Linked DNA regions of Alligator mississippiensis. The protein of the gene in region 3 purifies or fractionates together with the protein of the main gene of each other region. This does not show direct contact. Links are inferred from orthologs where the notes say so. Each region holds a gene or a part of one and is shown on either strand. Other genes may lie near its edges. The genes, in order: MYBL2, CCNB1 and FOXM1.

Region 1 (10,504 bases), on a different chromosome or scaffold from region 3:
GGCTCTGTAGGAGAGCCTGCTACAGTCCACTTCCGTCTGGGAGTGCCAAATGGTCCCCATCAAATGAAGGACCATTCCTGCTATGTTGCTCTCTGAAGTCCTTTTTGCCCCTTGAGGACAAAGAGGATGGGACTAGAGCCATTGGAGGCCATCCTTTGAAGTGGACAGAAGGCAGGATGCAAGTTCTTGGCATACAAAGTATGAACTGGAGTCTCAAACAGCTGAATCTAGTGCTAAAAAGGGGCTGCCTTACAAATCAGTTGTGCTACAAACAAGCTTCCAGTACACTAATGAGCTTAAACTTCCTAGGCTGCATCATTGGTGTGTCTTTGATTAGTATGGACAGAGAGCTCTGATTTAGCCTCCTGCAATCGCTTGAACTCTTTCAGCCATTGTAAAGATGAAAGCTAAATATGATGCTCAAGCTAATAATTTGTCTGACTGACTCCCAGGACAACCACTTAAGCAGTCTTGGCACCTTGTCAGATGGTATTTGGCCAATATTTTCAGTATTGGCTGCACAGCTCAATTTCAAAACAATGATGCTGAGTGAGATGTAAAATTGAACTACAGACCCACAAAATAACTTCTAGTTCGTATCAAATTTAAGCTACAAGGTACGGGAAGGTACATGTAAAGAGAAATGTGCAAAGAGAGGAATTTTTTTTTTTCCAACTATTTAGGTTGGTCTAATAAAAGATATCCGATTCACCCAAAGAACCTTGTCTGCCCATGTTCTTAGACCAACACAGCTACAACCTACACCCCTGTAAAGAGAAATGGCACAAGGTCTGGTTCATACACTGGTAGAACTCTTTGCAAGTGCTAGCTGAAGGAGTAGGCTTTTTACCCAAGCTAACTATATTGGTATAAAGGCAACTTGTATTGGGCTTGCCTGTGTTTGTGGCACTGGGTGGTTTCTGTCTTCCAATTCTCAAACTAGAACAAGCTCTTCTGATGAAAGCTCTCTCAGGCTGGTATAAGTGCCTCCATATTGGGAATAAGGCCAACTTTCACATCCCTGTACCAGTGCACTTAAAACCTCAAGTTTCTAATCTGCTCCTTTCTCAAGCTTTAATTGACAGTAACATGCTTCTTGGGGCTTCCTCTGCTTACAAGTTGTCTCTCTGTTGGATGCAATTAGGATTTTAGAAGAGTGAGTGACTCTTGGAAGGCTCTACAATGTCATCCATCCACAGAAGCAATGCCAGTATCATGACACTAAAGGAAATCATGGAACTTGGATTTGTGGCAGGTGTCTCCAGCTATACCTACTCATCTCCAGTTAATAACTACACAGAAACTAACAGTACCTCTAAGCCAGATGGTTGGGATGGTCTCCTTGACTTGGAAAGCATGATGATGATAAAAGGCAGTCCTCAGCATACTTTCACAAGACCCGAGTCCTCTCTGACCAGCAGTATGAAGGGTGAATTGCACAGTCAGATCCAAGGCATTTGTGATGGTGGCCTTGCTTCCTTCTGCAAGACCCCGAGTGGTCATGTTGCCTTTGACTTGTCCAATCTGGTTTCTGAATACAGCAGAGTCGATTACACTGTGGATATATATTATGATACTAAGTCCTCTACACCATGCAGGGAAGAGAAGTGCCTCCAGTCAATGGAGAACTTGCTCTCCAAGAGCTCAGAGACGGTAATTGATTTGTCAAATATCAGGAGGCCACCCCCACCTATATTGGAAATATCTGAGATACAAGCCCCTCTGGACAATATTCTGTCCCTTGATGTGAGTGCTGAAGAGCCAAGATCACTGGGATTTGTGAAAACAGATGCCTTATCTCTGGAGACGTCTTCCTCTGCTATTATTTTGCCTTGGGCTGCTACTAGCAAAAGACACTGTATTCCTGCCTTGGTGTCTATTTGTTATGATAAGTGAGCCAGAGCCTGTAGCTGTGGTTCTGTCTCAACACCTATGATTCTACATTGTAGAGCAAAGCTATGATGAATGCACCAGAAGAGTTTCTACTTCCATTATCAGAGTTTTTAGCGTTGACTCTGTTTTGCCTTTGACCATCAGTTGCTGTGTTTTTGAAGCTGGCTTGCATCTCCACAGCTGCCACTCCTTCTCCCCACCACTAGCTCAAAATCTAGAGAGATGGACTAGCCGAGTACAACCTATGACACATCAGTGTGTATTTGCAGCATGCAAAGAGGCTAGTACTTAAAGCTAAATTACTGCACTGAACTGTAGGGATGCTTGTGTTTGGACAAACACTAATTTTGGTCTATAGTTGTCTATATAGTAATGAATTACTGGAGGTTTGTCAGATTTGATTATAATGGCTCTGAGTAACTTTGTTTACTGAATAAAGCACTACTGTCACTTGAACTCGCACTTTGATTTTGCTCTAATAGGAGACGCTATTCAAAGTAATTTAATTAGGCACTCTATAAATTCTACCATGCAAGAGGCTTAAATTGGAAGAGGGCAGAGTGAGATCCTGACAAAATAATGCTTAGGAGAATGATAGTTCAGTTCTGGGATACTAAGTAATAAACAGCACAGGAAGGCTAAATCAGGTGAGTTTGGGGAGTAACACTACACCTAAGTGTGCATGGGATTGTTATAGCAATTATGCAGTAACTTATAAAAAGATGCATCTGCTTTACTAAGACTATACTTCCAGACCTTCAAACACCGGCAATGGGGAGGGCTATCCAGAGATACTAAACAAGCAAGTGTGTAAGAGTATCCTTCAGAGGTTATATTCTACTCTCTCTCCTTTTATGCAGAAAAAAGGAAGTGTTAACAGTAGTAACTGTAGGGATGTTGAGAATATACTTAAAACACTACCAATCCCTTCAATTTTAAGGTGCTGGGCAGCGGGAGCAAATATAGCAGCATTGGGGGAGGGAGTGTTTTTTGGAGCGTTTTTTGTTTAATAATTTAACAAATGGCAGACTTCAGAGACTCTTACTACCTGATGGCCTGACTGAACTGTAAGCTGCTTCTTTAAGCTAGGCAACACTTCCGAACTCATCAAAATTTACCATGAGTTCTGAAATAGCCAGAGCTTTCCTCATTCCTTAAGAATAGTGGACATCATAGTCCAGGTTAGGGCAGGAAGTGATAGCTTTCTTCACTGAACTAGCTTCTTTGTAGGTAATACAAAATGTAAATGCCCTCAGGAGATGCTGGGTTACAGTGAGGCTAGCAACTTAACTTCCCAACTGTAAAAAGAAGATGAGTATTGGAGTTCTGAGGGTACAAAACTACCTAGCTCAGGAGTCGAAAAAGGATGCAAGTTTTGGGTTGTGTTTTGTTGTTGTTTGGGGGAGCAGGGCAGGTTATTATTAGTTGGCTTGAGAGAGTCCTGGAAAAAATATCCCTTAACCCTCTAATGAATTTTTAATATCTTTTATAAATGAAACAGCTGTTCCTCTAGCTGTAGCTCTGGCAGATGGGGCTAGCTGTAGCTCTGGTAGACCGGCCAGGAGTCCTACACAATTTCCTGGACTTTTTTTTTAAGGTGGCATTTAAGGTCTCTTGCTTTTTCTAGGGGAGGCTTTAAATTTTGACTCTTGCTATCTTGGAAACCACCTGCTTGTTCATCCCAGCTCCCCTACCCTGACCGCTGGTTATAAGGGAGCTGTACCTACTTAAATCTCTGTGCTCCAACAGAGGCTCCAGATGCAGCTAAACTGGTCCATCTTTAATGCAGAGTTAAAGCATCATGGGATATGTAAGACACAAAGAACCAAGATGGCTGACTTCACAAAAGAGGACTAAGTGTTGTAGGGACAGCCTGTTAGCTGATGCCGCTTGGCTGGTGAAGTTAAAAGCAGTAGCTTGACCCTCTTCTGAGGGCTCTTCTGAGTGAACCTGTGCACCAACTAGGCACAAATACTGCACTTAAGGCAGTCTTGGCAACAGGCAGAAGTGACAGGTGGACACTGCGAGGCTAGGGCAGCGGAGATCATGGATGGAGCAGGGGGAACTGAAAAGAGAACAAATCAAAGCCAGCATCCTGCATTTAGAGAGAGAGTATTGACGGTAGGAGAACTACTGGCTTAACTAGGTACTAGATGGGCTTGTCTCTCACTAACACCCACTGCTGTCTTCTGGAATAACTTCAGGAGCAAGGAGCTGAAGGAGGGGAGGGGATAAAAAGGGAATACTGTTTCTACACAAATAAACTCAGACACTTCTCTAGTACTGATGAAGTGAAAGTGCTCCATGTACCCTGACAGTTCTTCAGTGTGAAACAACACGTGTGCTAACTAGGAACTGGTGGTGGGCAGTGTTGCCATGTGTCAGAATTTCTTCCTGTTAAATAAACCCCAGCTTCCTCCGTGATCCACAGGGGAAATGTGCACCTCTGAGAAGACAAAAAAGAAGTTACCTCAAAAACGATCCTGGAAAGGTTTCAGTGGTGGACTGCAGCAGGATAGCAGCCATGGCCCACTCAGCATCCTGCAGTCCTTTTAATTTGTCCCCCTTACTTTATCACAGCTCAAGGCAATGCCTGCAAAGGAGATATGACAGCCCTTGTATCTTGAGAAAATGGGCGAGTGCAGAATTAGATGCGAGTGGCTGCGCAGCTCTAAACACAGCCGCTCTGAAAGTAAGGGAGAGCTACTGCCTACACATGTGACAGGAGGGCCGGCAGTGTGGGAGAGAGATGCTGCTAGCTCACTGCTGCTGTGCATCCCTCTTCAGGCACACAGGAAGAAAAACAGCATGAGTGCTATGGGTGCTCAGCCAGGCAAAAGATGGGACAGACAGCACAAGGGCCTACTGTTGAAAGGGTTTGCACTGAAGATGAATGGTTTTGCAGGTATTTAACAAATGAAAAGGTATTTTGATAGCAACAAAGATCAGAGCCACACTGTTAATGACTCATGTAATGAGGGACAGATCACCCCTGAAGAATGTAACACCTATGGGTGCTTGTACATGTGCAACTGGGGTTTAGTTCTCCCTAAATTGAAACGGTGGGTTTTTTAAAATCCACCGTTACAATTTAGGGAGAACTAAACCCACAATGCATGTACAAGGGTGAGGGAGGCCTGATCCTTTCCCCACCTCCCTGCCCGCAGCCTACCTGCCTCTCCTGCAGCAGGGGGTTGTAGGGGCAAGCAAGCTGCTGGTGGCTGAGCAGTCCCTAAGCTGCGGGGCATCCCAGTCCTTTCTTCTGCAGTGGCACCCCTCAGGTGGCACCTGCCCCAGGCAGTCCTAGGGAGCAGCACCACCTCCCACGGGAAGCACCAAGCCCCACACAGCTTGGGGGCTGTGGGACCTAGTGGCAGCTCATGCAGGCATTCTTGAATTTGGGGGGAGGGGAGGGGCAGGTGCTGCCTGAGGGGCACCACTGGCACCTGGGCCAGGTGCCAGTGGGCAGGTGCCACTGGGGGGGCACCACCACCATGGAGGGAAGCACCGGGGTCCCCTCCAGCTCTGGGAGCACTTGGCCCATTGGCAGCTTGCCCCACACCCCTGAGCTGCCAGCCTGCCTCAGCTGCGCAGGGCCCAGTACTTCCCTCTGCAGTGGTGCTGCCCCCTGGGACCACCTGGGCCAGGTGCCAGTGAGCAGGTGCAGCCTGGGGGGCACTGCCACCACAGACAGAAGCACCAGGACAGCTGGCCCCCCAGGAGAGACGGATAAGCTCCAGCACCTTATGCACCATCCCCACCACCCTCTCGCTGTCTGGAAGCAGCTGGCTTGCCCCTCAGGCTGAGCTGCAAGAGGGGGGCTGGGTATGCTGGTAGTGGGAGAAGGCAGTAGGGATGGGGCACTAGAAGCCCACCAAGCTTGAGCTTCCCCAACCACAATGGCTTCCAGTGCCCTATGCACCATTGCACTTTGTTAGGTATCAAACTGAAATACCTTGGATGGGTTTTATCTTGCTACGCTAAAAAGTCATTTAAAGTGTAATACGCTGCCAAGCGTGTAAATATCAACGCTATTAAGACGGTGCAAAAGGGCACTTAAGCCCCTTTAAAGGGCAATTTTGTTGCATGTACAAAGGCCCTATATTTCCAAGTGAGAGTGCAAAAAGGAGAGTGTGTTATACCTGTCATTCAGATGGGGAAACTCAGGCACCAAGGGTGCCCCAGAGTTGCCCAAGGTCATACAGCTGGGGACAGATTTCAAATCCTATAAGTTCTGGGCCTGGGTTTAATTTCTTATAAAAAAAAAAAAAAAACAAAAACATTCCCACTCCAAAATGTTTACAGATCTGCTGGTCTCACACAGGACTAATTTGCAGATGATTCTTAAAATAATTGTATTTATGATTTGAAATACTTCGTAATGTGGGAATTTTTGAGGTGTCTAGCTGTAGGAATGACATTATTCTATATCTTATATAATGGCCCATTGCAAGCCTTAGGGAAGGAAGTGGCAATACTTAAGATTAACTTCTCCAGTGACCCTCATCTTGAGGTGCATCATCTTCCAAAGATCCTTATTACTGTGCATGAATTTGTTCCCCTTCCTTTTTAAATTTAAGATTACTTACAATACATATAAAAAGTCATGACTAAGGATACAGATGGAGAGCCACTTACATTAAAGGAGAGAATCCCATACTAATTTGTTTCCTGCAGAAATGTTGTTGTGTCAAAATGAGGGGCTTGAGAAGATGGTAGTGACTTGGCAGTGAAATGGGGATCAGCATTCCATTAATAGATGGCTTTTAAACTCATTCATTCACAAATTGCAAAGTAGCTAATACATAACCATGGACTCTCTGCATAGGTGTAACTTTGAATAGTCTTTCCCCCATCATTACATTTCCACCTGTACAACTCCAGCTGTTGGACACTAACAACAATGGGCCTCACCCAGATCCAGCCTTCATATTATGACAACAGATGTACTTGCCCTCTCTCAAATTATGGCTGGGTTGTTTCTAAAGTGACAGTCCACCAGAAGGTGGAGGGATCAGACTAACCATTATCAGATTTGGCTAATGTTAGTGGAAAGCTCCTGTTAAGGTGCTAGGAAAATGAGAGAAAAGAAAATGCTTCCTCTTGGTAGCAGAATGGATTCTGATGGAACAGCTCCCACACATCTAGAGGCAAGAAGGATGGTACTGAAAATGGAATTCCCCTGAAACTCTGTAGGGGGAGGAGGCAGGGGTGTGCAGATTATCATGGGGTGAACAAGTAGAGCAGCAAGAGGCTGTGCAGTAAGTAACACACAACAGAGGATAACAGGTGGGGATGAAAGTAATTTAAAGCCTGTAAATCCCAAAAGTTAACAACTATGCAGAAGGCCCAGCTTGTGAAAGGGGTTGAATGGCTTCAGTGAAAACTCAGTCCTACCTAAACTACAGCTCTACTTGTGAAAAACAACCTATGATTTTTGTGGTTTTATTTATTTATTTGGTGGCAGTATAGGAAATGGGGCTTACAGTGCTAAAGCCAGTCTAAAACTGCAGCCCCCTATCTTTTAACTATCGTGTTCCACTGTTGTTGAATGTTAAGACTACTGTGATTGTGTAAATCCCCATCTTCTCACTAGCTACAGCTCTTAAACCCTCATCCATATGCTGCAGGATGTATAATGGTTTCTTCATGTGTTAAATGGATTAAATGAGAAAGAAAGGATAACTCCAACATAATCCAGAGCCCTTCCAACGAAAGTAGAGGGCTCCTAGCAAAGGTGCTTGGGTACTATGGTCTGCCTCTAGCATGCCACTTTCTGCTTTAAGGAAGAAAGTGCAGTATTAGCTCTGCGTTTTAACCCTGAAAATCCTGGGATGTGTGACTAAATTTGCCTTTGAAGCAGCTTAATTACCTTTTTGCACCACTTTAATGGCATCACCATTTACACCTGCAGTGGCTTGTTTTAATTTCATCATGCTGTATTTTGCTTTAAATTACTTTGTTACATAGCAAAGTAAAAAGTATATTTTAGTTTATGATGAAACAAACTGCAGAGATATATCCGAAGGTGGTAGGGATGGTGCTTGGGCAAGCTTGGCCTTGGTGGGCTTCCAGTGCCCCGTGCATGATCCCTGCTGCCTTCTCCAACCGCCAGCATACATAGCTGCCCTCCTGCCACCTTCCTACACTGCCCCAGGGGCAAGCCAGCTCATTCCCAGGCAGTCCCAAGCAGCAGGAAGGCAGCAGGGATGACACACAGGGCATGGCAAACCCGCCAAGTCCGAGCTTCCCTGAGCACTGGATTGGGCTGGGTGCTGCCTGCGAGCTGGGGAAGCACCGGCTCACTAGTACCCCGTCTGGGCAGCCCCACTGCGGGGAACCACTGGGCTGCGCAACCTGGCAGCAGTTTGCATGGGCAGGCTCTGCAGAGGCAAAAGCAGCAAGGGGCCCATTCTGGGGGGGGGTTGTCCAGCAGAGCCTGCTTGCCTCTCCCGTGGTTGGCAGGTGAGCTGCCTGCCCGCAGGCCCCGAGCTGCAGCAGCCCTGGACCTTCCCTCTGTAAAGGCAGCACCTGCCCACCTGGGGGTGCCACCACTATAGGGGGGGGCACTGGGGTAGCCCACAACTGGGGAAGGCTTGCTCAGCCTGCCAGCAGCTTGACCCCTGGCCACATGAGATGTGGGCAGGCTCAGAGGAAAAAAGGATCAGGCCCTTTACTGCTTTCCCCTCCCTACCAGCAGAGCCTGTCCATACGAGCTGCCTCTGGGTCGCTCAGCCCCTGAGCTGCAGGGGAGGGAGGAGCAGTCATGCCCCCTGGGCCATCACAAAAGAGAAAGACCAGCCCCTCCCCACCCCTGCAGCTGAAGTCCTGCTGGCAGCTTGTACCCCGGCTGTGGGAGAGACAGACAGGCTCCAAGAAAAATAAATAAATAAAAGGATCTGGCCCATCACCACTTCTCTGGCAGAGCTTACCCGTGACCCGGGGGGGGGGGGGGGGGTGAGCTGCTGGTGGGCTTTCACTGTTTTGTCACAGTGATGGAAGTCCCTAAATTGAAACAGTGGGTTTTTAAGTTGGTGGGTTTTGAATTGTTAAAAACCCACCGTTTCAGTTTAGAGAGAACTAAACCCCTGTCATATGTACAAGTGGCACTGGTCTACAACTTGCAACCATTTAGATTGAAATACGCAAAGGCATTTTTGCTCATTCTTACTTGGACCCATATTGTTCAACATCTTCATTAATGATGTGGACATTGGAGTCAGAAGCAAGCTGGCCAAGTTCGCCAGTAACACCAAACTTTGGGGCAAAGCATCCACACCTGAAGACAAGAGGGCAATCCAGGCTGACTTGGACAGGCTCAGCAAATGGGCGGATGAGAACCTGATGGTGTTTAACACTGAAAAATGCAAGGTTCTCCACCTTGGGAAGAAAAACCTGCAGCATCCTTATAGGCTTGGCAGTGTTACGCTGGCTAGCACTAGGGAAGAAAGAGACTTGGGGGTCATCATTGACCACAAGATGAACATGAGCCTTCAATGTGATGCTGCGGCTAGTAAGCAAAACGCTGGCTTGCATCCATAGATGCTTCTCAAGCAAATCCCAGGACGTCATTCTCCCCTTGTACTCGGCCTTGGTGAGGCCGCAGCTGGAGTACTGCATCCAGTTTTGGGCCCCACAATTCAAAAAGGATGTGGAGAAGCTTGAGAGAGTGCAGAGGAGAGCCATGTGCATGATCAGAGGTCAAGAAAACAGACCTTACGACGACAGGCTGAGAGCTATGGGGCTCTTTAGCCTGGAAAAGCTCAGGCCCAGGGGTGATCTGATGGCCACCTATAAGTTTATCAGGGGTGTTCCCCAGTATCTGGGGAAGCATTTGTTCACCAGAGCACCTCAAGGGATGGTGAAGTCAAACAGTTATAAACTACTGCAAGACTGTTTCAGGCTAGACATAAGGAAGAATTTCTTCACTGTCTGAGCCCCCAGGGTCTGGAATAGCTTGCCATCGGAGGTGGTTCAAGCACCTACATTGAACACTTTCGAGAGAAAATTGGATGCTTATCTTACTGGGATCCTATGACCCCAGCTGACTTCCAGTCCTTCGGGCGGGGGTTTGGACTTGATGATCTTCCAAGGTCCTTCTAGCCCTAATGTCTGTGTGAAATCTGTACAGAAGCCATGATGGATGGATGCAGAGATGGGGAAGGACAAATCCTAGTTATGGTGCTGGTTACACACTCTGACCCCTCAGCTGCCTTGCTTCTAAAACATGTTAAAACATCAAGAACAGGCAGCAAAACAAGTCTGAAAAGTTTTGCAAAAAAATAAATAAATAAATTACTTTAACTGTAAACACAAAATAATAGTACAGGCTGGATGGATAAGTAGCAACTAGAGCCTATACTAATTTGCTGGGTGGGATTGATAGTTTTGGAAACACTAGGTTTATTGTGTAAACATTCACAGAGAACATACAAGTTGGTGCATTTGAGTGAGAGGAGTAATTTTAAATAAAAACCATAGCAGCCAGATGATAGTAGTGAAAAGGTAAATAGAAAAAGCTAATCTGACCAAAAACTGTCAGTGCAACAGAGTTAGGACATTAGATTGTATGCGTCTTAAGACAACTGTAGAACTTTTAGATAGTTTTACT
Region 2 (10,672 bases), on a different chromosome or scaffold from region 3:
TGCCATAGTTCCAAGACACCCCTCATACCTGCAAAAAACGGTCTATGATAGCAACTGTCAAGTACATGGTCTCTTGCAGCAGTCTGAATTTCATTTGCACCTGCACAAGCCAGTCAATGAGTATAGCACGCATATTTCCAGTGACTTCCTTGCCCAACAGGAATTTTGGTCTGATAGCTTGTTGTTCCTGCATAGGAAAGAGTTATAATTAATATTACTACAAAATAGAACTTTTGGTTAGAGGGAGGCAATGGTATCTGAGTCTTGAAGCCTGCATACTGCAATTGTTATGCACAATTATTTCAAGTTGTCCAGTACTTAATTTTAGTTACTGAATACTAGTGCTTGCATCTTATTAGGTTGAAAACCCTAGTTCTAGACTAGAGGCAGGCAGTTATTTTGGCTGGAGGGCCACTTAAGAAGTTTTGGATAATTGAGGGCTGCAAGGGTAGCCCCACCCCCTGGTTGCCATCTTGGGATGCAAAGCCTTGCCCCTAACATTGCCACTAGAAATCCCTCCCCTTGCCCCAGAAGTACACCTGGGGGGGGGGGGGGCAGGCAGGATCTATTAAAAAACAAACAAAACAACCTCTTGTTTTGTGTTTGCATAGTATTGGGGGGGGGGGGGGGGGGCGGCACGTGCACCAGCAGCAGTTCTGGCTGGCTCTGTACTTCTACATGCTGCTAGGAGTGCCAGGAACACCATGTGGAGGTATAGAGCTGGCCCAGCCCAATAGCACAGGGCTTGCCACAGCTTCTGGCACCATATACATGCTGTCCCACCCCCAATACATGTTGGGAAGGGCAGGAGGAAGCCAACCCTACCCATCCCATCTGCAGCTCTTAACTGCAGGGCGAGGACCCATATGACACAGCATGGAGCCAGCCCAGCCTGGTGGCACACTGGAGTCCCAGAAACTGTGTGAAGTCTGGTGCTATCAGGCTGGGCCAGCTCTGTGCCTCTACGTGGTGATCCTGGCACTCCAGCTGGGAGCAGCATGTGGAAGCACAGAGCCATCCAAAGTCCCATGAGCCCCATGTAGTGAGGCCATCACCATCAGTCCACCTCCCTTCCTATTCTCACCTGAATTTCCACCTAATCAGATGGAGGGCACACTGGGGAATAGCCACAGGGTCATCAGGGCAGAAGCCTCTGCTAGGCAGGAGCATGGCATAGAAGAGTGGGGCAAGTCAGGTTGGGGCTGGTCACAACACGACCAGAGTCTGAGCTGCTTGGTGCTGCACCCAGTGCCTCCTGCCACTAGCATCTTGTCAGGTAGTAACTGTTTAAGTTTCAAGAAGCCCTGTGGGCCAGAAGTGTCCCAGCAGGCTGGATCTAGCTTGTGGGCCATGTTTTGTCCACCCCCGTTCTAGTGAATGCATGCACTTGTCATTTAAAGGTTTGGCATATGTTCTGGTCCTGTTAGCAAGCTTGTAGGAACATCTATGACTAGACTCCTCTGTCAGCTAGTCCTTGTAGTTCTTTACAAGGGATCAGGGTAGAAGCAGAGTGCTGGGAGATGTGCTAGAAAAAACAAAACCAACCAAACCAACTAGTCAGCAGCCATACCAACCTCAAGAACTCTCAGGTATTTGTAGATATCCTTCACATATTCACTGCAGAGATTTGGGTCAGAACCATCATCTGCATCTACATCAAGCAACACATCAGAAAAGGCTTGACACAGTATTTCCTCCACTGGCATGCATCCAGATGTTTCCATTGGGGTTGGGGATAGAGGCTCCAACTACAGAGAAAGGAGTTAAATATATTTAATTAAGGCCATGTTTTTCAGCCATTTGGTGATCAGGCCTTTAAAAATAGAGTTTGACAGATAGTGTACAAACAGATGGAGTTAAGGGGACACCAATATTCAGAGCAGACCAGTTACTAGATATCCCAGTATTTTGCGATATGTAGAACAGCTGTTTGGTCCTTACTAACAGTGACAAGCTACTATTTCCAGAACAGCTGTAGACACAAGATGGTCATCAGTATTTCCTGCCACCTGGCCCTTTATTTTTCCTTGGGAGAAATATTTCTACACTGATTTAGGAGTTAGTTACACAGAACTAGGGCAGCATATCATTGTGCATCTGGGATCTTACAATAGGGCAAACAAGCAGCAATTAAACTAGAGTAAAACAAGCAGGCTATTCCCAAGCTAGTAGTACTAGCTCAGTGAAGCACTCTCTGGCAGAGTCCCCACCTCCCCCCCATAGTTTCCCTGGTAGGAGGTACATGACAGAAGCCAGGATCTGTGCTCCAAGTTTATGGGCAACTTTTAGTTAGTCACCGAACTGACAGCAGCATTTGGTGTATGCATTCCTACACTGAAACAGTTGCTGAAGGAAGAGGAGATCTACATTACAACACTTTCAACTCAGTAAAGCCTCAATTATCTGAGGTCAGACATTTCATCTGGGCTCCCCTATGGACTAGGGTCATGAAATGAGAGAGTGCTTGTTTGCAGTAGCTTAGGGCTTCAGCTTGCCCAATACTTTGGGAGGGGAACATTAATAGTTGTTTAGGTGGCCTGGCCCTAGGACAGCGATTCTCAATTAGGGTGCTACAGCACCCTGGGAACCTTGAGATCCTTTCTGGGGTACCATGCAAAGTCAGTACTATTAGGTGTACTGTGTGAATCCTCATTGCAAACGCCAGGACTTCAAATAGGAATCCATCATGAAACAAAAAACTTTGGATTTTAGGGGAAGGGGGGGTTCCAAGTTCTCTGCAACACAAGTATTGCTGTATTAGTTTTTCTATTTTCACTTTGTTTTTAACTTGGACTCTAGGCACCCCATGGAAGTGTCAGCTCTGAAAAGGTTGGACCCAATGGGGGGGGGGGGGGGGGAGGAAGAAGAGAGGGGCCTACAGAGGAAGAAGCAAGACAGAAAAAAAAGCCTTAGACTCAGCTCCTTGCCCTGGGAAAAAAAGCTCCCCCCCAATTTCCTTCTTTAAGGAAAGGAGACCTTAGCCTGCCCATGCCCTATTTCACCTGCAGGCAGGGTGCTACATTACTTCAGAACACAAGAGGAAAGACTAGAGACGGAGGTGCTCAGGTCCCACGCTAATGGCCACGAGTACTACTTTGGAAGAGGCCACCATTACACTGGCATTATGTGCCACTGAATTCACTTTGCTCCTTCCCTAGGGGAAGGGGAACAGAGGTGGAAGGTGGTGGGAGATGCAGACCGAGCAGGTCACAGCAGCCCCCCTTGTTTCCTTGATACCATACCTGCCCTGGTGCACAGACAGGTACCTTGGCAGGCTCTTGGGCCTGCTCCTCTTCCTTCAGAGGCTCAGCAGTGCCCTCCACAGCTTTTGCAGGTTTCCTGGCAGCAGGCTTGTCCTCAGCCGTGGGCTTAGCTTCCTACCCAGCAGGAGAGGGAAGTAGTTAGCCGAGGAGCCCCCTACACAGCCTGAAGCAAACCTGGCACCCCACCCCCATCTGCAGAGCAGACCCCCCCCACAAGGCTGGCTGGGCCAGGGATGCACGAGGTCCAGCATTCCCCCCTCCAAAATTACCTTCTTGAGGGCAGCTTTAGGCTGCGGCTCCTCGCACACGCGGTTGCCGATGTCCCCCAAGGCCCTGCGGGGCCGCAGGCCGGGCTTGGCCGCGGCGCCCCCCAGCTTGGCGCCAGCCACTGTAGTCGCCGCCCCACTGGCCTTGGGCTTGTTCTCGGCGCTGACTCTCATGTTGTTCTGCGGAGAGACGAGGCGCCCTGAGCAGCCGCAAGCCACGCGGGACGCCCCCGGGGAAGGGACCCCGACCCCAGCCCGCCGCCCCGCTACCGACCCTAGTGACCCGCAGCGCCATGTCCCCGCACGCCGCCGCCGCCAACACCAGCCCCTGCTGCGGCCGCAGGTTTAAAACTCGCACTGGGCTCCGCTCATTGGTTGCTCCCCTCCCTCCTCATTGGCAGCTCGACGTTCCACCCCCAATGCGTTGCCGCAGAAACCGAGCGCTGATTCTTCCAGAAGTTCGAAAATGGGGCGGGGCAAGGGAGTGGGGCGGGCTGTTGGTACCACGGGACGCGGGGGCGGGGAGGGAGGGGTGGCCTGGGCCTGGTGCTTGGCGGGGTGTGGCTGACTGTGCCCAGCAGGGCCGTGTTCCTGTAGTCTGGTGCGTCCCGTGGCCGTCTGAGCCGGTGTCCGCTCGTCTGCTTGGGCCTGATGGCCCTATAAAGCTGCCAGTGTTTGCTCCTGCCAGGGGTTGCATAGCTACCGAGATGGCTAGCAGGTCACCTGCTAGGTCGAGCTGAGCAAGACGATTTTGTCAAAACATCTGGATGATTGTGGGGGGAGGATGTGCAGAAAGACAGGATGCTAAGTAAGGCATGTAGGTACAGGTGTGTTTATGCAGATCAGGTTTTAGGGAAATATCAGTTTCTCACTATTGGATGACATAGTCTGTAAACAGCCAGTAGCAATAGTACAAATACTGAATAAGAAAGAGACAAAAGGTACAAAGAACAAAGGGTTCTTTGGGAGCAAAGGGTTGGATTGCTAGGCCTGAGCTTTTCAACTGGTGTGCCACATGAATTTGGGAATAATGAGAAGAAAATTCTGTAGCCTCCTAGTGCTAACGAACCAGCTGCATCAACAAGCCAGATCAACCAACTATTCACAGAAGACTGGTGCATGTGTTGACTGGGGGGGCGGGGAGGAGAGAGAACCGGCCAAGCAGAAGGAAATTCATCTGCACGTGTTGGCTGTAGGGGATGCGCAGTTCGAGAGCCTCTGAACAGCTGTGCCACGGAGTTTTGCCGTGGCAACGAGCTCATGAGTATGGGGACAGAATGCCTTAACAGGTGTGCCACAGAAAAAAAATGTTAATGTGTGTCTTGGGCTGGAAAAGGTTGGGAAACGCTATGGTAGCCAGTGCCTCTGAATAGTCCAACAAGACTCTGGACTATCTGAACATCATAGGAGTAGGATAACTAGTACATTTCATAGTATAAAATTGTGTGTTATCTGTTAAACCTACATTAAATGGAGTGGAAACTCCCATCTCTCGAGCATTCTTTCTCTCAACAACCCACTGGTTCCCTGATCCAAGGTTTTGGGGTAACACAGGTTGACTATTAGAAAATTACACTGCAGCTCAGTCTGTACTTCCCAAGAGAGCATGAAATACCAAAGTGGGAGCATGTAGTAGGTGGTTTTTAAAAGCATTGCTTCCACATTAACTGCTGCCTGGATCTTTTAGTTGATTAGCAGCTTCCACAGGCTCCAGTTCTTTCATAATATCACACAGATGATGATTGGTGAGAACATTTTGGTAACTCACCCTTCTAAGCTCTGACCAAGCTTGGAAATTGGCAGGCTCTAGCTTGTACAAGAGGAATGATGTGGGAAATCAGTTGTATTTTGTTTTTATTTCCAGCTGCATCCATGGGATATCAAACCATGTTGGGACCCAAGGACATTCATAAACATTTGTTTTTAATTTGTTAGGAACTTCTGAGCCAGTTTCAGTCTCTGTGAGTGAAGGGAGGACACCAAGATGACTGCTGTCTGAAAGCCAAAGTCTGTGACTTATTTGTGGAGATGCATAGGATAATTCCAGGTGGTCAGAGCAACAGCAAGAGCTCAGATACTGGTGGGAGGATCCAGGGATGGCTGAAAAATGAAGAAGGAGGGATCTGGGTTACATGGAAAGTGAACATGGGAGGAAAAGAGGTGAGAGCAGAATTTCATAGATTTCATAGACATTCGGGCTGGGAAGGACCCTGGAGGATCACTGAGTCCAGCCCCCTGTCCCAGGGGCAGGTAGTCAGTAGGGATCATAGGATCCCAGCAAGATAAGCATCCAAATGTGTCTTGAAGGCATTCAAAGTAGGTGCTTGAACCGCCTCTGGCAGTAGAGAAGTAAAGAAGTTCTTCCTTATGTCCAGCCTGCATTGGTCACAGCGAGTTTGTGACCATTCGATCTTGTCATCCCTTGGGGCACTCTGGCAAACAGACTTTCCCCCAGATCCTGATGAGCACCCCTGATAGATTTATAGGCGGCCACAGATCACCCCTGAACCTGCGCTTTTCCAGGCTGAAGAGCCCCATGGCTCAGCCTCTCATCATAAGGTCTGTTTTCGTGACCTCTGATCATGTGCATGGCTCTCCTCTGCACTCCCTCAAGCTTCTCCACATCCTTTTTAAGTTGTGAAGCCCAAAACTGGATGGAGTATTCCAGCTGTGGCCTTACCAAGGCCGAGTACAATGGGAGAATGATGTCCCGGGGTTTGCTTAAGAAACATCTATGGATGCAAGCCAGTGTTTTGCTTGCTTTACTAGCCGCAGCATCACATTGAAGGCTCATGTTTATCTTGTGGTCAATGATGACCCCCAAGTCCCTTTCATCTGTAGTGCTAACCAGCGTAGCACTGCTGAGCCTATAAGCATGCTGCAGGTTTTTCCTCCTAAGGTGGAGAACCTTGCATTTTTCAGTATTAAACACCATCAGGTTCTCATCTGTCCATTTCATGAGCCTGTCAAGATCTGCCTGGATCACCCTCCTGTCCTCAGGTGTGGATGCTTTATCCCAGTTTCTTTGCCATGGTCATAGCTGAGGGGTCAAGACATGGCTTTTGAGAGAAGCAGGATCATGAGCCACCTGGTGAGCCCAAACCACTTATCCACCCATGCCTATCTTGCACACAAGCCCCAGTTCAGTGTGCAAGAAAGGGGACAGATTCCATGCTGATGTGCAGTTCCATAACACGTGCCACTGCATCAGTGTCTTGCACTCTGCAGTGTTTGGTGTTGTTAAATGTTTGTGCCCCTATGCTTTTCATTGCACATCTTTTGACTGTGGAAGTTGATTGCAGCTGGATTGCCCAGATGTTTTGCCTTTGTTTGATCACAGATGGGGGTCTGGAGTGACAGTGCTATGCCAACCCTGAACTGTTTATCAGTACACCTGTAACAACCTGGGGGAGTACCAACTTTTACAGGGTGATAGCAGTACACTTTGGGCCTGTTGTTGCCCCTTTGGATGTTTTAGTACTCAAAGATGGAGCAAAGCTTACGCAGGTGTTGTTGTTCTCCTTTTATAAATGTTCTGAGTCTGCAGCTTTGTTTTATCATACTGTATCCCCATCATTCAGTGATCATAGTCTTGGTCTGAATTTTTTGCAGGGTAGGAGGATCAGCCATAAAAGATGGCTTTAGCTAAGTTCATGCAGTGCTGACTGTTTTTTTTCCTGTTCCTGGCCAGAAAAAGCCAGCTCCTAAATACTCACATCTGTACTATTGCTGTCTCTTGGTCACTGCTGCCACATATAAAGTATCTGTCAATTGCAGTTGCAGATTACCACGCTTCAGAGCACAAGGAGGCACCAGGGAAAAGAAGTTGGTCCTAGATCATTTCTGTTCACCATTCTCAGAGAAGAGACAAATTGTTTCACAATGCCCCATGGAAGTGAGTAGAGGGTGATGCAATGAGCTGTGGTGCTACAAACCATAGGTTATATCCCTGCAAAGCTTTGCATCTTTTTTGATTTTGTACAGTGCCATTGTGTGTGTAGGCTGTTACTGCATCTGTATGGGAATTGACTGCCGTTTCTAAGTGCAAGGTCATGCTGTTAAGTTAGGCTAATGTGATATATTAAATAAGGCGTTAACAGAAGACTTCTTATCAATCAGTTTTCAATGGAAAAATGGCTTTCAAGACAGTGAACCTTTTCACTAATGTCTGCTTTACATAGGAGAGTTCAACTTTCCATTAAAAATAACTTCATCCAAGGACAGTAAAGTTTTGATTTGGATCCACTGCTGCACTAGCTTATGGGAGTTTGTATTTCTTCTGTTGATTTGTGTTCACGTTCTCCATAGGTGGAGGGAGAAAATAATTTGTGAGGGAGGCTGATCGTGTATGTGTTGCCCCCTCCCTGGTGGGAAAGTCTGCAGAGGAAGGGGCCAGGGGGAGGGAGCGGAGCCCAGGATCGGGGCTGGGGCCCACTGCACCCCTTTGGCCACCCCTTCCCCTGTGCCTGGGGTTGTTGCCCAGTGCTGGCACTCCCCCGCACTAACCAATCTGCCACCTCCCCAGTCCCGCACTGCCTGGGGGGGCCAGAGCAGGGCCAGCCTTGGCTGACCCACTAGGCTGGAGGTGACGGAGCCCCCGGGACCCCTGTGCCCACTCCAAGTCATTGTTCTGCTGCTGCTGGGGCAGGTCCTGCACAGCCGCGACGGGGCACGGGGCACAGGACGTGGGATGAAGCCGTGACATCCTGGGGCACGGGAAGGAGGCAGCTTCCACCACTGCGTGCACCCAGGAGGCATGGGGGCCGTGTGTGGCCCTGGATCAGCATGGGGCAGGGCAGGCTGCCACTCTGGGCTGGGGCTGTATTGGGCTGTTCTGGGTGGGGGTGGGGAGGGGAGGGCTGGGCTGCGCTAAGGCCGGGCCAGGTTGTGGGGCAATTGGAGCCTAGCAGTTCATCCAGGGGCATGGGCAGGCAGCTCCTGCCACCGCGCACACCGCAGGGAAGCCCTGGGCGGGCATGTTCCCCTCCCTTGGCCCTCCCATGCCGCTGGGCTCTGATTGCCCCATGACCTGGCCCAGCTGGGGCCCCATCATGGTGAATGCAGCCCTGGCTAGGCCGGGTCATGGGACAATCAGAGCTTAGCAGCTCCTCCAGAGGTGCACTGCCGGGGAGCCAAGGTGGGGGCACATGGCCCCCTGATCTTTGGATGGGGCAAGGGTGGGCTGTAGCTGTAAGCTGGGCTCTGCTCCCTGCCTCTGCTCCTCACTGCAGCTGCTTTGAAAGCAGCACGGCATGGCGCCATGTGCCTTGCTGCCCAGCCCACACAGCACTGGGATGCACATGGCATTGCACTGCTTTCAAAGCAGCTGCAGCGAGCACAGAGGCAGGGAGCAGAGCCCAGCTTGCAGCTGCAGCCTGCCCTTGCCCTGTGCAAAGATCAGGGGGCCATGTAGCCCCTGCCTTGGCTTCCCAGTGCTGCCCCTCTGGAGGAGCTGCCAGGCTCTGATTGTCTCACAACCCAGCCTGGCCGGGACACCATTCACTGTGAATGGGGCCCAGCCGGGCTGGGTTGTGGGACAATCCCCGCAGTGCAGCAGGGACCGAGGCAGGGGCAGAGGTGAATGATTTGTCCCTGCCCCTACCTCACTCTCTCCTGCACTATGGGGTTCTCAATCTGCCCCAAGTCCAGGCAGTCATAAAAAAATCAGATTGAAAGAAACTTACCTGCCTGCTGAGCCAGCTGCGAGCCTGGCTGTGCAGGGTATCTGAGCGTGCACACCACTCCCTCCCTGCAGCAGCAGCCTGCAGTTGGGCTCCTGTCCAGCCATACCTGCTGCCCTGCGTTTGAGGGGCTGAGCTCTGTTAGCCCCCACTCTTCTGCTGCTTATGACATTTTCCTACTTGGTCAGATTGCATCTCTCCTGATGCACCACAGTCTGGGATTCCTATGATGCACTGCCTTTTCTCTCTAAAAGGGAATTTGGTGCTTATAGGACATGAGTAGGACTATGAGGCACCAGAAGAACAGATTATTTGAGACACTACAGCAGCATTTGCAGAAGATTGCATTGAAATTCTCAAATGAAAATGCATCATTATGAACTTTTTGGAAAAGCAGATCACATCTTCTGACCAGCTGAAATGTTAACCTGCTATAATCCAACTCAATGTTCACCTGCTGCTATTTCAAAGACTTCAAAAGGCAAAAACTAGGATTATTTACTCTGGAGAAGAAAAGATTGAGGGTTGTTTGTTAATAGCCTTCAAATACCTGAAGGGCGAGTAGGAGGACGGAGATGGGCTTTTCTCTGTAGGGAACAGGATGAGGAACAATGGCCTCAAGATGCAGTAGAGGAAATTTAAGTTGGATATTAGAAAGAACTTTCTGACTCTGAGGCTGGTCAATCATTGGAATAGGCTACCTAGAAATGTTGTAGAACATCCATATGAGGAAATTTTCTAGAGCAGGTTAGACAGACACTTAGCTGAGATGGTTTATTCAGGGATGATTCTGCCTCGAGCAAGCAGCTGGAATAGATGACCTCATGACATCTCTTTCAGCCCTACTTTCCTTATGCTCCTATAAAAAGAAAGCCTCCAGACAAGAGTACTAAGAAAGAAACAAGGATCCTAACTTTCACACACTATCCAAAAAGAGGATCAGGCATTATGAGGAAGGATTGCAGTTAAAACCATCTTCATGTTTAACAATGGAGCAGTTACTCAAAAGCAGGAAGATCCTAGAGGGTAATTTGATTATGCCTGATAGAGCTGCTGAGGTGGCACAGTGACTAATTGCATAGACCATCACAAAATATGTTTGTTTATTGTAAAGGCAGAACTTAAGCCTACACAAAAAGAGGGGTATAAGGGGTATGATTTTTTTCTGTATATGGACAAAGACAAGAAGAAATAACCAGTGAGATGCTTTACTGTGGAGCTAATTAGCTCTGCACTGAAGCATCACTGTCTACATGGGCAGTGCTATTAGGCCAGTTAACTAATTAACTCCGCTGTAGGACAGTACTGCCCAACATAAGTACTACCCTACAGCAGCATAGTTACAGTCAGTGAAATGTACATGTAGACAAGTGATGGGGCTAGCTGGGGCACAAGGGTGCTTCAGTGCCTGCTGGCTAGTCCCACACTGCAGCACCCTTGTGCCCCAGCCTGCCCCTGCACA
Region 3 (9,924 bases):
AACCAAAGGGGGAAAACAACTGCGACATTTAACCTGGTTCCCATGTTTGAGCAACTAACCACTGAACATGCACATCTACCACATAGAACATGGGAAGAATTCACCACACCTATTCTGAGATAGAAATGGAGAGAGCTTCCCTTTTATAATGCTTTCACAAGATGATGCTGTTCTACAGCTCCCAGACAGAAGGAAATTCTGCCCCTGTCCCGTCAGAATTAGGAACTGCAGGAAGAAATAGCTCGAGTCCCACTGTAGGTAATGCAAGTCTGCACTGGGAACTTGCCTCTGGCTCTCGGAAAGTGTATGGCCAATAGCTTGACCTCCTTCAGGATTCACGTGCCAAGGCTGGCACAGTGCCCAGTGGAGCCTTGCTTCCAACATGCTCCAGCACATCACTCCTGACCAAAACAAAATGCCTCCTACTTCAAATAAGGAACCCACCATTTCTCAAGTTAAATGACTTAGTTGAAGCTCTAAAAACACAGGCCATACGTCAAGGCAGCTTTACCTCCCCGCTAAAGTCAGCTGCAGCCAAACATCCTGGAGTTCAGGAATCAGGAAAGCCATCCTGTTCCCTTCACAGGAGGCACTCACCTTAAACACCTGGTCCAACGTGAGATAGCGATTGGCATCAGGGTGTATAGTCCAGAAGGAGATTTTACCATTAGCAGACGTCTCACGGACAAACATATCATGAAGGGATAGGTTGTGTCGGATAGAATTCTGGAAAGATACAAGACATCTTAGGGCTTTTGATTACAGAGTGCAACTAACATCCTCAGACACTACAGTCCAGGGAGCGAAGCTCTGCCCATGGCAGACTTTGATCCAATTTATTTACCATATGCTTGGTCTTCTTAATCACAAAAGCTGCTTGCTCCCCTCACATTTAGGAGCCCAGCTCCCAGCCTAGTGATCAGTTATCCTCTCCCCTGCCTGGCTAGAGCAGGAAAGAGAATGGTGGAGAGGTTGAAACAGAAAAGGGAATGTCAGGAATAGAAGGTGGCACTTTATAAAACTATTTTCTATCCTGTTTCACAGGTTGATGCTTTTTGACTGGGTAATTGTTTTTCTATTTGCATCCAACAGTCCCACTATAGTCACCCTGTTATCTGACCTCACCCACACAAGTGGACATGACTGCTGGACAGCATATTACCTTCCAGCCTGGCTTGGCCACATGCTTGAAGTAGGGGAAGTGATCCTCAATCCAAGTGTAAATGTCCTTCAGGGTCATACGTTTCTTCTCAGTGCTGTTGATGGCAAACTGGATCATGGCCATGTAGGAATAGGGGGGCCGTTCTGATATTGAGTCCTGCCATGAGGAAGTGGAGGTTGAAGCAACAGCACTAGAATCCTCCTCTATCTGGGAGAGAAAAGGACACAGTGATAGTTGCAAGTTAAGGAATTTGAAGCCTGCTGCACAGCTCCACATTGAATTGCAGAAAAATAGAGCTGGAAGGGACTACAGGAGGTCATTTAGTCTAAACCCTTGTTCAAGATAGGAGCATCCCTATCTAAAATGCCTCATCCAAGTATTTGTCTAACATGCTTAAAAGCTTCCAGTGAAGGAGATTCCAAAACCTTTTCAAATAATCTTTTCCAGAGTTTAACTTGCCTAGATTGGTTATTAGGATGAACTTTCTAACCTAGATTTCCCCATCTTGTAATTGAAGACCACTACTTATTGTCCTGTTCCCAGTGGATAGAGTCTCCGTCTTCTTTATAAGCAACTTATTCTTTGTATTTGAAGACTGTTATCAAATTCCCCCTCAGGTTTCTTTTCACCAGATTAACCACCCTCCTTCCATGGGGAAAAGGCTTGTGTTATGTCTGTCGCCTCCAAGGTTTCTCACCTATGTATCCCATCTCCTTCCCCTCTCCAGAGGTTTCCTCTATCTTATGCTCTACTCCTTTCATCCCTAGAGTGCTTCTTACCTTGATTCCCTCCACCTGTACAGGGGTCTGGTTCTCTTTCTCCATCTCTTGTTTCACAGTGGAAGGACTCAGGCCATCAGAGCTCATCCTTCCCAGCCACTGGATGTTAGTTAGGCTGTTATCCAATGCACAGCTTGTCATCTCTCCACTGCCTGCAGAGAAATCGACCCAGAGCATTGCTCACTTATCTGCAAATACATCTCAGATGCCTTGAAGGACACCCCAACCAGGAACCTCAAAGGTATCTTCAGTGCCCCCTTAAGACATAGGTACACAATAGCACTACAAAGCTAAACAACCTTGTGGAAGTAGCCAGAGTTTGTGGTTTAATTATGGATGGGCCCTACTCCCAATTTGTAGCTTCAAGCCTAAAAAGCTAGCTTTAATTGGAATCCCTCCTCCCACCCTGTTCCTTGAACTAAAATGAGTTTCTGCTGAAAGCAACTCTTAACAAAAAGAAATTCAGGCATGTACTAGCCAGAGGACTAAACTTAGCAACAGAGGCCATGAGAAATAAAGACATGCACTCTACCAGCAGAAGCCTGGGAAGGACCTTAATGAGCTCAGCTCCTGGCAGGGATGCATGTGGTGGAGGGAGAAGGGTGCTGGCCTTCCTACTCTAGTTTGACCTCTTGCAATTACTTGAGCACCACCTCTTTCCTCAGGTTCTAGCTCACAAACATCCCAAATTGTAACTGTTCCATGTGAACTGTTCCATCTCCTCCATCCCCTAATGCCTGGAAAAGGAAGAAAGTCTTTTCAACTTTCCTTTCTCAAACTGCTGAAAGTGGTTGCTATTCTACCTGTCTGCCAGGGGCTCTTGACCATTCTGAAGGAGGTGAAAACATCCCACTTGCTCCTTCCCAAACTTCATTTCTCCATGTAAGCAACTCCATTGCCTGCTGCTCACAGCTTTGCCAACCTGCAGCATCTGCCCCAGGTTGATGTGATTCTCAAGAGCACTAAAGTCTGACTGTCTGCAAGGGCCCTGAACAGCAGTAGCAAAAAGTGAATACATTTATTTTCCTTAGTCTAAGAGCCACATGCAGCAGCAGAGCTACTACCTACAGACTGTGGAGCACCTGTACTGAGGCACATTTGCACATGTGGGAGTTTATCTACCAGCACACACATGAGACAGAGGCTTCTTTTTGTTAGAAGAGTGTATTTGTCAGCAGGCAGTGGTTGAGGTAACCCCATGGGGAAGAAGCCCAAATGGCCATTCAAGTCCAAGCTGAGAAAATATAACCTTCATCCCTGGTGTGGCACGGACCAAGTTTCTTCACGAGGGGGTAGCAAGGAAGAAGCCGCAGCTGCCAGTCCAAAAGCAACAGAGATCTCCCTTTCCTGGTATCTCTAGCTATGCATTTCATAGAAATCATAGAAAATTAGGGCTGGAAGGGACCTCAGGAGTCATCTAGTCCAACCCCTGCTTAAAAGTAGGACCATCCCCAACTAGATCATCCCAGACAGCTTTATCTAGCCAGGTTTGGAAAACCTCCAAGGATGGAGCTTCCACCACCTCTCTGGGTAACCTGCTCCAGTGTTTACTACCCACCTAGTGAGAACATTCTTCCTAATATCCAACCTAAACTTCCCTTGCTGCAACTTGAGACCATTGCTCCTCATTCTGTCACCACTGAGAACAGTCCAACCCCGCTTCAGGTAGTTGAAGGCTGCTATGAAGTCCCCTCTTCTCTAGACTAAAATGGAGTGATGTCAAGTGCCCAGCTCCCCACCTGGCTCCAGCCCCACATCTCCTAGCAAGCCTGAAGCCCAGCTTCCAAAAAACCTTTGCTCTGCTTGTCTGGAGTGCCCAGCCTGTACCGCCAGCCCCAACAAGCCCCGGGGGGAAACAGACCACTAAGACTCCGGCACTCAGGGCCGGGACTCCTGCCCCCAAGCGCGGCCGGGAGCTTCCCCGTACCACCCCCGCCCGCCGCAGGCCGCGCAGAGCCTACGTACTGCTGCCGGCCTGGCCCTGGCCCGGGGGCCCGGGGTCGCTGCCGCCGGGGGGCAGGCGGCGCGCGGGGCTGGGGGCAGAGGCCAAGGCCGTGCCCGTGCCGCCGCCGCTGATAAGGATGAACTTGGTGGGCCCGTCGCTGCCGCAGCCCTTGCCCTTGGCCGTCAGCACCTCGATGACGCTGCGCAGGTCGGCGCCGGGCGGGATGGCCACCACCTGCGTGCGCGGCAGGCTCGGGTGCGCCGTGACGCGGATCCCCGCGCCCGCCAGCTCCGCCGCCGCCGCGCCCGGAGCCCGTCGCGGCGCTTCATCACGGGCGGCGGGCGGCAGCCGCCGCCGCTTCAGGATCAGGGGCCGGCGCGGGCTGCTCCTCATGCTGGACCCGCGCCGGCGGTCGCCATGGGCCGAGCCGGGCCCCTCCCCCGCGGGGCCGGGTGGGGGGGAGGGGGGGGTCCGCGGCCGCTTCCGGGCTCAAGCGCTGCCCCTGGCGCCGCCGTTCGTGTCTCCGTTTGAATTTGGCGCCCGGCTGCTCGTTGGCGTCACGTGCCGGCCGCGGCCAATGGGAGGGCGCCCGAGCGTTCCATCCGGGGCGCGGCCAATCAGTGCTCGCGGCGGCTCCACGCAGATGGGAGGGGGTGCGGACCCGGAGGCAGGTGGCGCGGGCGGGGCTCAACTAACAGCCACCAAGCCGGGACCGGGGGGCAGGACCGCCCATAGGGTTGGTAGGGCCCGTGCCGGGCCGGCTGACGCTGGGGGCTCTTGCGGGCGGGCTCTCGCGGGGCGGTAGGGCTCGTTCCCGCAAAGGAAGGACGTGCGGAGGGGGCGGGTCGCTGCTCCGATCCGGCCGCACAGGGGTACGCAGGTGTGGCCCTGCCCCGTTTGGCTCTGAGGGAAAAGGGGCATGAGGAAAATGGGCAGTAGGGCGGGGCCGGGGGCGTGGCGACATTAACGGCCGCTTGCTCCTCAGCAGCCGAACGCCCCGCGGCCAGGTGCTGTGGGTCCGGGGGCCGCACGCTGAGCACGGGTGGGTCTCAGACGTGCCCACCTCGGCTTTTATATGTAGGTTGGGGAAGGAAGTAAGTGTCTACTTTGGTTCCTCAGCCGTGAACAAATAAATAACTGATTGGACCAAAGAAAAGACCGTTGCCTCTGTATGTGCAGAAGAGGCAACCCACACAGAAGCTGGCGCAGCACTTCAGCAAACTTTTCTGTAGCCACCTAGTTTGGTGGTTTCACATTAAAGTGTTGGTGGGCAGTGTGCACCACGTTACTATTTTCTTTTGTTTTAAAGGATTTCAACAATGTAGGGATTAATGTAGGTTGCCATTTCTAACTTAAACTGAAAAAGTCATCAATTTGTATCCAGCCTAGCTCTGTGTCTGTAGAGCAATGTATTTATTATTCCAGTCTTCATTAGAAACAGTTCTTTTCAGAGAGCTTAGGCACAATCAGAAGCATTACTTTTTAAAAGAAATTCAAGATTGCTTGGTGGCCTCAGGTCCCTCCGTTTGTTCTTTGCAGATCTGGGAGTAGCTGAGAAGTCTTCCTCTTCTCTTGACTAGCTCCAGCAAGCATCATGAAGTCTCTAAGTGGCTTCCTCAAGCCTTTTGATGCCTCCAAAGAAAAAATGCACCCGCAAGGCCAAGAAGCCAGAGCTGCTCTTCCTTGAGAGGCCACGGGAGGGATCTGTTCATCATTATGGGTCTTCTCTTCCTTTGGCTGAGAACCCAAGATGTGTTCCTACCAGACCCGTAGACCAGAATGCCTCTACTGAGTGGGTAAGTACAGGTTTCCTGCTCCTTCATTTCATACAGTGTTTTGTTTTGTTTCTCTTTTACAAGGTAATGGAGAGATCTGTACTGGATATTGGCACGAGCCAATAAATGGGTGCTTTTTCTTTATTTCCTTGTGGTTTAACTAGCTGTAGAGTTCGGAGTTGCTCCAAAGCCCACTCTTGCAAGTCACAAGCAGCTCAAGCTTTATTGCCACTTCAGGTACTGAATGATACTTTAGGGCCACTGGCAATGAAACAGAACTCCATGTCATGTACATTAGCATAATGACATTGAATACTGGGATCCAGAAAGAGAAATTGCTTTATGGATTTTATAGTAATTCAAAACCCTGTGCACAGAAAATAAAATATTTATTCTTTCATTTTTATTTTATGGATTTTTTTTTTTTGATACTTGAAATAGCTACTGTGCTGTAAGTGTGGTTGGCTGAAAGCTATGCCTAAAGTAATACCTGCCTGTTCAACAGGGATCCTGGTTTTCTCTGTTTAAAAAAAAAAATCCACAATTTTCAGATTTAAAAAAGTAACTCAAAATCCACATTTTTCTGTGATTAAAATGAAATGCCACTAATTTATATATAGTAGTGTTTCATTTTGATCATGGAAAAATGTGGATTTTGGTTACTTTTTTTTAATCTGAAAATTGTGGATTGTTTTGATCGGAGAAAACCAGGATCCCTGCTGTTCAGTTAAGGTGCTAGCTCCATTTTTGTATGCCCCTAACTGTAGTTCTTCTCTTTAGCATTTATTTTTATGTCTACTTTAACAGCTTGCTTTTCTGCTGTCATTCATACAATAATAAACCAGGGACTGTTGATGTCTGTGGCATGGAGTTAAAATTGATGTTGTACCTTGTAATGAGCTGTAGTTGCAAGGGAAGGGAAGGTTGGTACATTTGACCCTTCCCCTTCCCCCAGCTCAGTTTGTATTTTAATCTTCTTTCCATGCATTCCTTCCAGCGTCCCCCTCCCATGGGCTGAGAGGGCAATTCAGTGTCCGTTTTATTCAGTCTTGCAGTCATTTGCACTGCCTGCATGATGCCATTCTGTGCAAAGATTTTTAAATAGTTGTGCTGCTGTACTGTGGGAACTGCCTTGGTTTTAGCTGCAGCTATCACTTTGGGCAGCTCTGCTAAATAGCATTGCTACTTTGGACTCAAAACTTTTTAACAAAGCAGCCCCAAGGAGTGAGGTTTCAAGTATACATTTGAACACTCCACCAGCCATGCAAATTGGAGTTATTTGAGGTCAATTTCTATGTTGTTTGCTGCGGGGGGGGGGGCGGAAAGAAGTTCAGAGCAGATCAACTTTAAACATGTTGCAGGCAGTCAGCTATATGGCTTCTAAATCAATAAGCAAAGCACTTGCTGAGATGAGAGAGAATCACTGTGGATCTGGAACACATTGGAAAATATCCCAATATCTGGAGATGTCTGAGAAGTAATGGCTGGGTAACTAGTATTGCAGTTATTGGGCTAACTTCTCCTCTGACTTCTCCTGACTACTTATAGTGAATCCCAAGTTAGGTCTCAGGCCTCATTTCATCACTTGAATCTCAATTGCATGAATCTCCTAGTCGTAAACATTTCCTGGGGTCTGCAGTCCCCTGTGTGTAGAACCTGTGTATCCTCCAATTGTTTTGATTGGAAATCTCGAAAACAGTGGGATAGGTACTTGCCATTTTTTTTTCCTGTTTGACTTAGGTTATGGCTTGTGAAATGTTGCGCAGTAATTTAATGCATGAAAGAGACTGGTGGTTTCTAGAGTAATTTAAGAATACAATATCAGAATTCACCCCTATAATAGGTGACTTAATTATTAAAAAAAAAACTTTGAATTGCAAGTCTTCTTTGAAAAGTCTCTAAAAATGGCTGTGTGGATTCTATGTTTTTTGTCTCCATTACTGCAGAATAAATGTCCCTTTTATAAATAAGATGTGTTTTGTGCAGTGAAACAACCTCAGCTGGGGGTCTAAGAATCCAGTTAGGCCTCTTTAATACTTATCCTTCACCTACAATATTCTGGCAGAAAACAGGACAGGGTGGTGGTACCTTTAGAGATTGGCTTCTGCCTAGCTTGAGGCTAACATGGTGACTTGCCTTTTAATATTCTGGTGTCAGTTACACCTGTGCTGCTGCTTTGTCTTCCTGGTTGTATCAACAAGACTGGTGGTTTGTAAAACACAAGAAGAAACAGAATCCAACCTGCTCTTTGAACTGTGGAGGATTCAGTAGCAATTAAAGATTTATTCTATCACTAAAATAGATGCATTTAAGTATATTCAGAGAAGATAGCACATTTAAAACTGCATTTCAGAGTAGAACTGCACTTTGTGGCTATGTGAGCCTCCAAATTTTTCATGCTGTCTTGAGTGTCGAACATAGTTTGCAGCTGAGGAAATCTCGGTAAACTAGACCACGTGCTGGAAGAGGCAACGGCAGCTCTCAAATGAAGATCAATAGATACATTAGAGAAAGGGGAAGTGCAGTGAGAATGGTGTTGCTGTTTCCTTGTGGAGGAGCCAAGGAGTGTGAGGGGTTATCCCATCTGAGAGAATGGTTTTTCACCATCTCTGTTTGGCTTTTCAGGTGTCCCCGCAGTTTGAAGCCACTCTACCCATGGGCTTCAAGGGCAAGGGAGGTAAGAAGCAAAAGCATGTGTCCAAAAACTTCCAGATCCAGGAAAAGAGTTATGGATTCCTTCAAGGAGGAGGAGCTGGTCAGAAACCTGCTGTCTGCAGATTTCCTTCTCTAACTTTTGAGAATCCAAAAACTTCTACCTGTACCTGCACAAGGCATTCCAAAACTAATGCAAAGGCATGCCATGCCCAGCCCAAGACAGGCTCTGCAACAAAAGCCAGCAACCCAAAGAGCTTTCGAGAGAGAACCTCTCAGTCTCCTATTCAAGAGCTAGAGATCTTCAGTCCACCAGATATACAGACTCCAGAACTGTCATCTGCAAGGAGCCTTGATCAGAGTGGCACTGTGTCACCCGTGAATACCTTCCCGCTGTATGCACATAGTGATGTCACTGTCTGTGCTGACAGACTGGAAAGCCATGACTCAACATCACTAGTCAAGGACACCCCAGAACACCAGTATGGAGTGAAGGTAACTTGGAGGCAACGGCCTCACCTATTGAAATACCTGAGAAAGAAGGGGAAGCTAAGCAATAGTGACATCATGGTGAAGATGAGCCAGTACTGACCTGAGCTCCCAGGTACAGGCAGCTGCTGACTGGAGCAGAACAGGAGTTCAGCTGCATCTCCTCTGTGCTGGTGGCTTAATGCAAGGAGGTCCCACTGGGAGATGACTCTGCAGGGATGAAGAGAGAGATGCCTTGTTCAAAGCATGGACCTAAGCCCCAGTGAGGCTGAGACTCCTTACTCCCACCGAGAGGTGCTTCAATCCACTGTGTGGTCCAGCTGTGAATGTCTCTGGGAGGGGGGAGGTGGTCCAGCTTGAGGCATCCTTGCCTCAAATTTGCTGCTCCTGGCAGTAGCTTAACTAAGAGCAGTGAGGTAAGAAGGGTACCAACATAGGGGATGCCAGAATGATGCCCTTTCCTTCCTCCCAGTCTTAGCTGGAGCAGCCCTACCTGCTCAGGGCATAAGAGCTCAGCTGGAAGCCATGAGCCTGGCTGCAGGGACATGGTTGGAGCTACCCCACACTACCCAGCCCTAGAAGCTGAGCTGGAAAAGCCCCCACTGCCTGGCCATAGGAGCTGGGGAAGGCACACAGCCGTGGGGGGGGAGGGGGCTGGACTCCCTAGGGCAGGTAAGCCACAGCCCCTGTAGCTGGGCAGTAGGGGCTGCTCCAGCAAGACGGTATGGGGTGAGGGTGCATGGGGTTGCTCTACATGCAGCTGAGCTCCCCCCATACCCAGGGGGCTGCTATTCACAGCGATGCCCCGTGTTAAATGGAACTCGGGGGGGGGGGGGGGGGTCGCCCAGGGGCTCCTCCAGCCCCGCCCCCACTGGCCGGGCTCGGTGGGGCGGGGCGGGGCGGGGCGGGGCGGCGCCTAAGGCACCACCCCGCGCGGTGCGCATGCGTGGCTTCTCTTTTCATTCCTCCCTCTCGACCGCAGCCAATAGGCGCGCCCCGTGCTGCGCCTCCCACCAGTGGTGCCGCGCCTTAGTGCCGGGTGCCGTTGCCTGGAGCAACGGCACGGGGAGGAGTGCGGAGGGAGCAGAGGAGCCGAGCTAGCGCGACTGGGCTCCCATAGCA

The links.
Region 1: the proteins of FOXM1 (region 3) and MYBL2 purify together in Homo sapiens (affinity purification with western blotting; 3 studies listed by BioGRID and IntAct, with this or other methods). This does not show direct contact. The link is inferred for Alligator mississippiensis from reciprocal best matches to the Homo sapiens genes FOXM1 and MYBL2.
Region 2: the proteins of FOXM1 (region 3) and CCNB1 purify together in Homo sapiens (affinity purification with western blotting; 4 studies listed by BioGRID, with this or other methods). This does not show direct contact. The link is inferred for Alligator mississippiensis from reciprocal best matches to the Homo sapiens genes FOXM1 and CCNB1.

Annotation. Positions count from the first base shown.
Region 1 is NC_081832.1:22,458,601-22,469,104, forward strand, and holds the start of MYBL2 (myb-related protein B), read right to left. Parts: upstream 4,442-10,504; 5' UTR 4,420-4,441; coding exon 4,364-4,419; intron 2,350-4,363; exon of another isoform or gene 1,145-2,349; intron 1-1,144. UniProt on the Homo sapiens protein: Transcription factor involved in the regulation of cell survival, proliferation, and differentiation. Transactivates the expression of the CLU gene.
Region 2 is NC_081826.1:258,264,994-258,275,665, forward strand, and holds the start of CCNB1 (G2/mitotic-specific cyclin-B1), read right to left. Parts: upstream 3,913-10,672; 5' UTR 3,825-3,912; coding exon 3,804-3,824; intron 3,710-3,803; coding exon 3,533-3,709; intron 3,378-3,532; coding exon 3,243-3,377; intron 1,749-3,242; coding exon 1,575-1,748; intron 188-1,574; coding exon 29-187; intron 1-28. UniProt on the Homo sapiens protein: Essential for the control of the cell cycle at the G2/M (mitosis) transition.
Region 3 is NC_081827.1:143,898,262-143,908,185, reverse strand, and holds the start of FOXM1 (forkhead box protein M1), read right to left. Parts: upstream 4,452-9,924; 5' UTR 4,280-4,451; coding exon 3,907-4,279; intron 2,094-3,906; coding exon 1,942-2,093; intron 1,370-1,941; coding exon 1,163-1,369; intron 727-1,162; coding exon 598-726; intron 1-597. UniProt on the Homo sapiens protein: Transcription factor regulating the expression of cell cycle genes essential for DNA replication and mitosis. Plays a role in the control of cell proliferation. Also plays a role in DNA break repair, participating in the DNA damage checkpoint response.